2 linked regions of the Xenopus tropicalis genome follow. The protein of the gene in region 2 interacts with the protein of the main gene of each other region in a biochemical or structural test. Links are inferred from orthologs where the notes say so. Each region holds a gene or a part of one and is shown on either strand. Other genes may lie near its edges. The genes, in order: ube2h and trim72.

Region 1 (4,265 bases), on a different chromosome or scaffold from region 2:
CCCAGTAACAGTGCAAATCAGGAAGAGGTAGGGAATTAAAGCCATAGGGGAGCTTAACCCTATGGGTCCCTACATAATTATAAACCAACATCCATTAAGAATATAAAGACTTAATCGTTTTAATACATGTTCGGTGATGCAAACCCATTAGGTTTATATTTTGGGTGCCTGATATTCAGGTGTGTTTTCAGGGGTGGGGCTTAACATTAAATCAGCCACAAAGTACAGGGAGGGGAATACTGGGCTGTTTTACTACCACTGAGGGGTGCAAAACAGGGAGAAAGATCCTTGTGAGTTAATATGAGTGCACATTTGTAAAACTGTCAAAATGAATAAATAATGTTATATTAAAATATTTTACATTTTTGCAAATAAATGCTCACCATGGAACCATGTCTACTTGTAATGCTGTGTGCGCACTGGAGATATATATAAATATATGTGTGTGTGTGTGTGTGTGTGTGTGTGTGTGTATATATATATATATATATATACATAGATAGATAGCTCCAGCGCATACAAAGCATTACAAGCAGACACAGTTATTACCAGCCCCCAATACTACTAACAAAGAAAACCGATACTCCCAGCAATTCATGTTTCTAGAACGTTACACCATATGCAGCGTTACACATGTTATTTGTCAATCACAGCCCTTCATCTACGTTGCAGGATGTCAGCATAAAAGCACCGAGCAGGTTGGCAACAGCTAAAGCTCAGACATTACTATTGCTGTGACACGTCAAACTTCACTTGTACTGTGTACATTTTTGGACATCCTCCCTCGCCCCCTCCCAAAAAAGAAAAAAAAAATCCAGTATCCCTTTCACTCGCAACCTATACTTAGTCTCCCTATCTCACGTATGTCTAATATCATATTAGGGAGACATAAAGACTACAACTCCCAGAAGTCTATGCACTAAACCGTATATATTCGCCAGTGGGCGCGGCTAAATAAAAGATTGACAATCTGATTACCGGCCCTTATATAGCGGTCGGGTGGTTTCAACAACCCACAGCGAGGCTTAGACCGCATGTCGATTGCTCCGCCTTCTGCGGTGTGGCTCCACCTCTCTTTTCTGTTTTTTAAGTCTTCCTCCGCGGCCGGCGCGTCACTATCTGTGAGGTCACGTGACTGAGACGTTTAGTCGGTTATACTACTTTTTATGCTAAGGCACTCTCCGGTATAAGAAGGCGGCGACAGTGTCTGGAAGCTGGGTTTGGGGGGCAACCTAAGGCTAATCTAGGTTAGGCCCCCGCCGTATTTATTAAGGGCAACCGGACAAACAAGGCCCGGAGGAGGGAGGCGAATCCGCCGTCAGTTCTCCCAGTCAATTGCTTACAGTCCTGAGTGCTTTGCTGCCGAAGAGTCCCCCGGGGGGGAGCTGCAGACATGTCATCTCCCAGCCCGGGAAAGAGGCGGATGGACACCGATGTAGTTAAACTGTATCCTTCCTGACGACAAATTATTGGGGTATAGGTTACATATACTATAAGTGGGTGCTTGACAGTCATTTGTCAGGTACACTCAGTATGTAACTCTGGGGCCCATGTTTTGGATGGATATGGAGCATTGAAATGGGGCAAAACAATGTTCACACTATTCTGCCCCTTCTAGATACATGTAAGTATCTTAATTGTGTAGTGCCATTACTGTGCTTATCCGTGTTCCTTGCCTAGAAGGTAGTAAAGGGGCATATCCTTGTATAAAGAGATCTTTGTACATCAGCTATTAACAGAAACATAAAATAAAGTGACTTACATAAGGAAAAGCATCCCTATATTTCTCTGAAACAAAGAATGCCACATATAGGCACAGTTGCTACTAAGATATACTGTCTTTGATGAGAATGATCTATTTTGATTAAATCCTTTGTTATTGATCTGTTGGCAGGCATGTCTTTCCTAACCCACAGGCCCTCCAGCTGTTCTTGAGCTGGTGGCAGTTGAAGCCTGTTGGGCTATATGAGTTTCAGCTGAAGGGCCACTGGTCAGCTGTGTTTTTTTTTTTTATATAATAAAATAATGATAAATGAATTAAGAAAAGGTGTATTGTATTTGTAACTCAGTAGTTCACATATAACTAAAGTATCATTGTGTAGTTTGTTTTGTACAACTCTAATAGGCCTGTAGGAATTTAGGTATATAGATACGTGTGTGTATTTTCAGTGTCAGTACAGTTAAGGCCTCACACAGGGAGGAGGGGGTGCAGACAAGGAGGATTTTGTTGTTTGTGTCTAGTTAGACAGGGAAAAGATGATGTTATTTTTCGTTTTGTTTTATTTGTGTAACAACAAATTACCAATTCCCCCCTGTCACTGGTCAAGGTTATTTACAACAGGAATGCTTAACCTGTTTAGTTAAATCCTAACTCCTAGCACCCACTGACAGCCTTAGGCTGTTTGGGGATTTTATGGTGATACTGGAATATGTAGTAGAATAACACAGGCTGTGGGATGCATTTTGGGCAAGCCTGTACTCAATAATCATTCTGTTTCTTTGCACCTATTGAGCTTTAACAAACAAGTGGGTTTTTCATTAGACTGCAAATAATTTTCATGGGGGCATTGTTCATGGAACATCTCTGTACTAAGTAAGAGCTTACGCAAGCATTTGTGTACCCCAGTCCTGTTTATGTGCCTAGTCAAAACAAAGGGATCTTTGCAATCTTTTTCTACTTGTCGTTTTTATTGTAAGAGAACAGACAAAAGACTGCAGTCTTAAAGGTTTCATGCTGCCTTATGCTTCCATAAATAGAGAATGGTAGGCACAGGCAGCCAGCAGCTTTTTAACATTTGCTACAATGGCCCTAATTGAAGTGAATGCCATGGTTTTTACCAGCATTTATTTGTTGCAGGACATTAAATACTTTGGTCTGAGCGCAGGTGACTTAAAGGCAGGGTAATGTATGTATTTTATAAAGTTGGGAACATCATCTGTTGTGTCTGTTTTAATCTGACAGGTTTTGTATAGCTGCATTAAAGGAACACCTACAATCCTGATCTCCTGATTGGAGATGTCAGGTCTGCATTGCAGGCCTTTAGCATACAAGGGGTTAACTGGCTAAAACCCTGGAGACAGATTTTTTTTTTTTACAGGAATACATTTCTTTCAGCCTATAAGTATTTAACAATTATTTAGATACAGTTAAAGTAACCCTCATGCTGACAATGTTATGTTGTGTGTTTTAGGTCCCATAACAATATATAGGTTAACAAGTAAAATGTATAAATGTCCTAGCAACTGATCGGACTGTTGGGTTCCAGTGGTATTAAGGGGGTTGTTAGGGGAAAGCCTTCATAGCACAGCTGAGCTCTTCTGTTTTTCTTCTCCTCCCTGTTTTTTGCGTTTGTTTTTGTCCCATAAGTTCCCTCCTAGCCCATGTAATTTCCTTGTGTAGGGTGGGACACTAGGGGATTTTGTTGTGTGGTTATGACATTAACGCTCAGACATGAGTAGTGAAAGGGAGTGTTGTTTGAGGGGTGGGTGGGAGCAGAGGGCAGGTTAATGGGCACCCCGCATCCACTCTGCTTCTTTGTTATTACTGTAACTAAAGTTTGGTAGGAATGTCAGAAAGCCCAATGCCTGTTCTGTAAACCCAGAGGCCCACAAAATCTAGAGGGCCACAAGTGGCACTGCATTTAAGTGTACCACTGAAACTATACTGGCAATCTGTGTAACAGGCCATTTATATAGGTGTACGCTTTTTTATTGCTCTCAGTTTGTCTTTATGTGTGGTTAAAAATATATTTTTCCTAGTACAAAACAATCTTGCATTTACCTTACGTTCACCCTGACCTTTTGCTTTCATCCTTTATTGGGCTGTCTTAGAGTTAACCAGCTCAATTATACATGTTTGAGAACTAATAATAAAAATGGGGGGTGGGGAATGTAACCTATTGTATACAATTCCAAAACAGCATATCAGTCATAACACTGTGTTTTGGTTTTTTTTTTGTGAGGCTAAGGCATTCTGCCAAAATAAATCATAGCTGTTCCTAGCCGTATAGCAGAAGGCCTATTGTACTTTTTTTTTTTTTTTAAGAAGAAAGTGTCCTATATCTAGAGTATGTGTAAAGTTGAAAGAGATTAGAAAAAGACCCTTCCCCCTCTCCCTTAACTTCCTTATTAAACTGTTGCATATTACTAGAGTGGAGCAGGAGTGCTGAGCTGCTTGTTTTGTCAGATTTCTGCCATGTGATTGGCTGCCCTGTTACTACCCGGAAGAAGGGAGAGGGAAGGAACGACTAAACAGCTGATAGAGT
Region 2 (3,775 bases):
ATTTAAACTCATCAGAGATGATGGGAAGCTGGATGTCCAGGCGACCAGGAGGAGGGGACTCGGCTAAAATCTTGTTCAGCCTATCAATGACAGAAGGTAGGATTTGTACAGCGCTGTGGAATATGTTGGCGCTTTATAAATAAATGTTAATAATTAATAATAGGAAAGTAGCAGTGGGAAGAGATGGTTTGTGGGCCTTCAGAGGGAATGTGACCAATGACTGCTCTTGTATCAGGCTCCACCCCTTCTACTTGGCCCTGTACCCATTCCTGGTGATTGCCTATGGATTATAGCAGTAGGCTGAGAATGGGAAGTAATAAGGATTAGATTAATTTGTTTATTTTGCTTGACTGAAGGGGAAAGTAATGTCGATTGGGCAGAGGAAGGAAGGATTGGGTTAGTAACATCCCCGACATGCAATATATGGTTATTATGAATTACCCCAGGGATAGTCACTAAGATTTTAGCCTCAGGGGAAGGGAAAAGGACTAACGCATACTATAAGGGACATGGGAAATTACCTTGCTGCCACCACACAGTATTTCTGAAACAAAAAGAAATCCGTTAAAGTCAATTTTTAACTTCTTCCTGCTTATCAGTATATATTTAAATGACAATATGCAAGAATTACACATTTACTAAGTGTGACTGCTATTGGAAGCAGCTGCCTGTCCCTTGCAATTCTCTGCACTGCTGCTCCTGACTATCTGCACTACTCAATATTGCAGCAGTCACGACCCCTTCCGTCACTACTCCAGTTCCTACAATACTGTGAATAACACACCCACTAAAGGAAAGTTGCAAGGCATTGTGGGTAATACAGTCATGGCTTGAGCATTGTTTCAATGGTACAGGTAGTTTTATTACTATGCTAGATGTTATTTTTGGGTTTACACCCCCATGTAGGCTAACTGGGCTTCCATTTGGCCTCACTGCATTACTGAGTGGCTCACCCTGAGAAATTCAGTTTGCTCCTGGCTTTCCACATCCTTCAGAACTCCATCCATCTGCCGGAGCTGATCCAGGTAATGCCCCATAGTCTTCCTTTCTACAAGCAGAGCCTCTGTGGCCGTACGTTCGGCATTGTCGGCTTCCTTGCTCAGCGAGGCTTCCATTATGCTCAGGTAGGAACGCATGGCATTGAGCTGATGCTTCACATTGCCCTTAAAGCGAGACACTGTGTCCTGTGGGGAGGGAAGGGAGTAGTGGAGATGATTCTCGGTATCCAAGGGAATACAACTGTCCCATATCCTCATAATAAACCCTGACTGAATCAATAGATGGAGCAAACTCTACGTAGAAATGGGATTGCATTAAGTACAATATCCTGGTGAAAGGTTGGGGGTTATGGGAGCTTGCAGATTAGGGTTAGCCCTATGGGGAAGAGATGTTGGGAGAAAGTAGGGTACAATAGAGTAGTAAAGAGGGTAACTCTCTGGGACAGTCTCAGTGGGATCCACGCTGGTCATTGGTAGAGGAGTAGATTAGTTAAACATGTGGAACTGAAGGTCATTGGTAGAGGAGTAGATTAGTTAAACATGTGGAACTAGAGGTCATTGGTAGAGGAGTAGATTAGTTAAACATGTGGAACTGAAGGTCATTGGTAGAGGAGTAGATTAGTTAAACATGTGGAACTGGAGGTCATTGGTAGAGGAGTAGATTAGTTAAACATGTGGAACTGAAGTTGGAATATGGGTTGGGTCCTTAACTGGAGTAGGGTAACTTGTTGATGTAAGAAAAGGCCAATAAGGTCTATAGCTGGGACTAGTAGGGATCTGAGAATAAGTGGAAGGGTTGCTGGTAGTATAAGTAGGAAAAGGGGCCACTGGGTTTGTAAAGCATGGAGGCCACTTACCTGTACTTCAGCCACCTGTCTGTCTAACACAGCCACCGTCTTCTCTTTCTTTAGTCGCGCCTCCTGCAGGATAACTTGTTGCTGGGGCAGCTGCCTCTGTGTGAGGAACGAGATGGAACAAAGTTAGATTTCATATACGTCAATATAGTAATATATAATAAACACAGCATAGTGTAAGGCTGGCACCAATTACTCTACATGGAGCTGAATGGCATGAAATGAGAAGGGAAATGTGTGTTTGGCTATTAATATAACACAGATATTAGGGTCACCTAATCCCAATCCTACTATTGTATGGCTCATATAGCAAAGCTGAAAAAGTGTGTTTCTAAGCACATTCCGCTTTACCTTCAGCTTGGCGTAGGCCTCAGCGGCTGTGATGATATTGTGCCCCTTGTGCTTGCTGAGCGAGGCGCACACCCCACAGATAAGCTCCTTGTCTTGCTCACAGTAGACACTCAGGGGGTCCAGGTGCTCCAGACAGTGGCCTTTTGGGACCTGCTTGAAGCTTTGGACAAGGTGTTCCAGCTGACGGTTGATCTGAAGGGTCTCGGGGCGGGAGGGGGTCTGGCAAGTTGGGCAAGGCGTTGATCCATTTTGGTCTTGGTTCTTGGGGGCCCCAGTCAAGCAGCCTTGGCAGAAGGTGTGCCCACACTCAGGTGTGACAGGGGCTCGGAACAACTCCAGACACAGCGGACACGTGAGGTCCTTCTGCATTCCTTGCATCAGCTGCGGAGTCGACATGCTGAGGGGCACAAATGGACAAAACCATTGCTGAAAGACTTATAAATCCAGAAACTTCACATCCCTATGGTTTAGTCCCCTAATTCCCTCAAGCACCGGGGAAAGAGTCACACTCAGTAGCCAATCTGGTTTCTGCAGATCTGCAAAGTAACAAGCAATCAGCAAGGGTCGCTTTCAGATCTTCACTGATACTGGACACGTGAGCTTGGATCAAGAAGCATGACTTTCTTCTGGGATAATCAGGAGGGTTGGACATTGCTTTCCCAACCCCTAACTGGGGGGCTATAGGGCATTGCTTTTCTCCATACAGACTTGCTGAGTATCACCCCCAAAGTATTATGTCTACAGCAGGGATCCCCGACCAGTGACTCGGGGGGCAACATGTTGCTCCCCAACCCCTTGGGTGTTGCTCTCAGTGCCGCCAAACCAGGGAGTTATTTTTGAATTCCTGACTTGGGGGCAAGTTTTGGTTGAATAAAAACAAGATTTCCTACCAAATAAAGCCCCTGTAAGCTGATAGGGTGCATAGAGGCTGCCTAATAGCCAATCACAGCCCTTATTTGGCACCTCCATGAACTTTTATGGTGCTTGTGTTGCTCCCCAAGTCTTTTTACATTTGACTGTGGCTTCTGAGTAAGAAAGGTTGGGGACCCCTGGCCTAGAGCATGGCTTTACTATATATATATAAAGGGCCACAGAGCAGTTATTTCTATCTAAAGGGTTAGAGAATGATCTCTGTTCTCTGTCCCATTATCAGAGCGTTGCTCAGACTGACTATAAGGGAGTGGTTTCGCTTTAAATAGAAGCCCAGAGAATGTCATGAGCTGCCAGGGAGGCTAAAGTTACCGGACAGAGAGAAGGGGGAGAGAGAGAAGGAACATTAGGGAAATCTATAGATACAGAATAGGCTTGGGGGCTGATAACGAACCCATAACAATTGCCCCTTCTGGTGTACTCTGCCCCCCGTGTAGGCAGAATTGTGCCACTTACTGTCTGGGCCATGGGAGAGTCCCAAGGTCAGAGGGGGATGTGGGATTCCCAAGGGGCTGTGGGGGCTGAGGTGGGGCTATAGAGCAGCTGCACTGGCTTGGGCTCAGCTGCTGCCTGACATTGGGCTTCGGGGCTGCACGAGTTCCTGTCCTCACCAATCTGCCCCCTCAGCTTCCTGCTGGAACG

What was found.
Region 1: the proteins of trim72 (region 2) and ube2h form a complex in vitro, tested with the Homo sapiens proteins (2 studies listed by BioGRID). The link is inferred for Xenopus tropicalis from reciprocal best matches to the Homo sapiens genes TRIM72 and UBE2H.

The regions. Positions count from the first base shown.
Region 1 is NC_030679.2:86,976,156-86,980,420, forward strand, and holds the start of ube2h (ubiquitin-conjugating enzyme E2 H), read left to right. Parts: upstream 1-1,147; 5' UTR 1,148-1,393; coding exon 1,394-1,446; intron 1,447-4,265. UniProt on the Homo sapiens protein: Accepts ubiquitin from the E1 complex and catalyzes its covalent attachment to other proteins. E2 ubiquitin conjugating enzyme that transfers ubiquitin to MAEA, a core component of the CTLH E3 ubiquitin-protein ligase complex.
Region 2 is NC_030685.2:5,465,881-5,469,655, forward strand, and holds part of trim72 (tripartite motif-containing protein 72), read right to left. Parts: intron 2,601-3,775; 5' UTR 2,600-2,600; coding exon 2,204-2,599; intron 1,952-2,203; coding exon 1,856-1,951; intron 1,185-1,855; coding exon 954-1,184; intron 545-953; coding exon 522-544; intron 81-521; coding exon 1-80. UniProt on the Homo sapiens protein: Muscle-specific E3 ubiquitin-protein ligase that plays a central role in cell membrane repair by nucleating the assembly of the repair machinery at injury sites.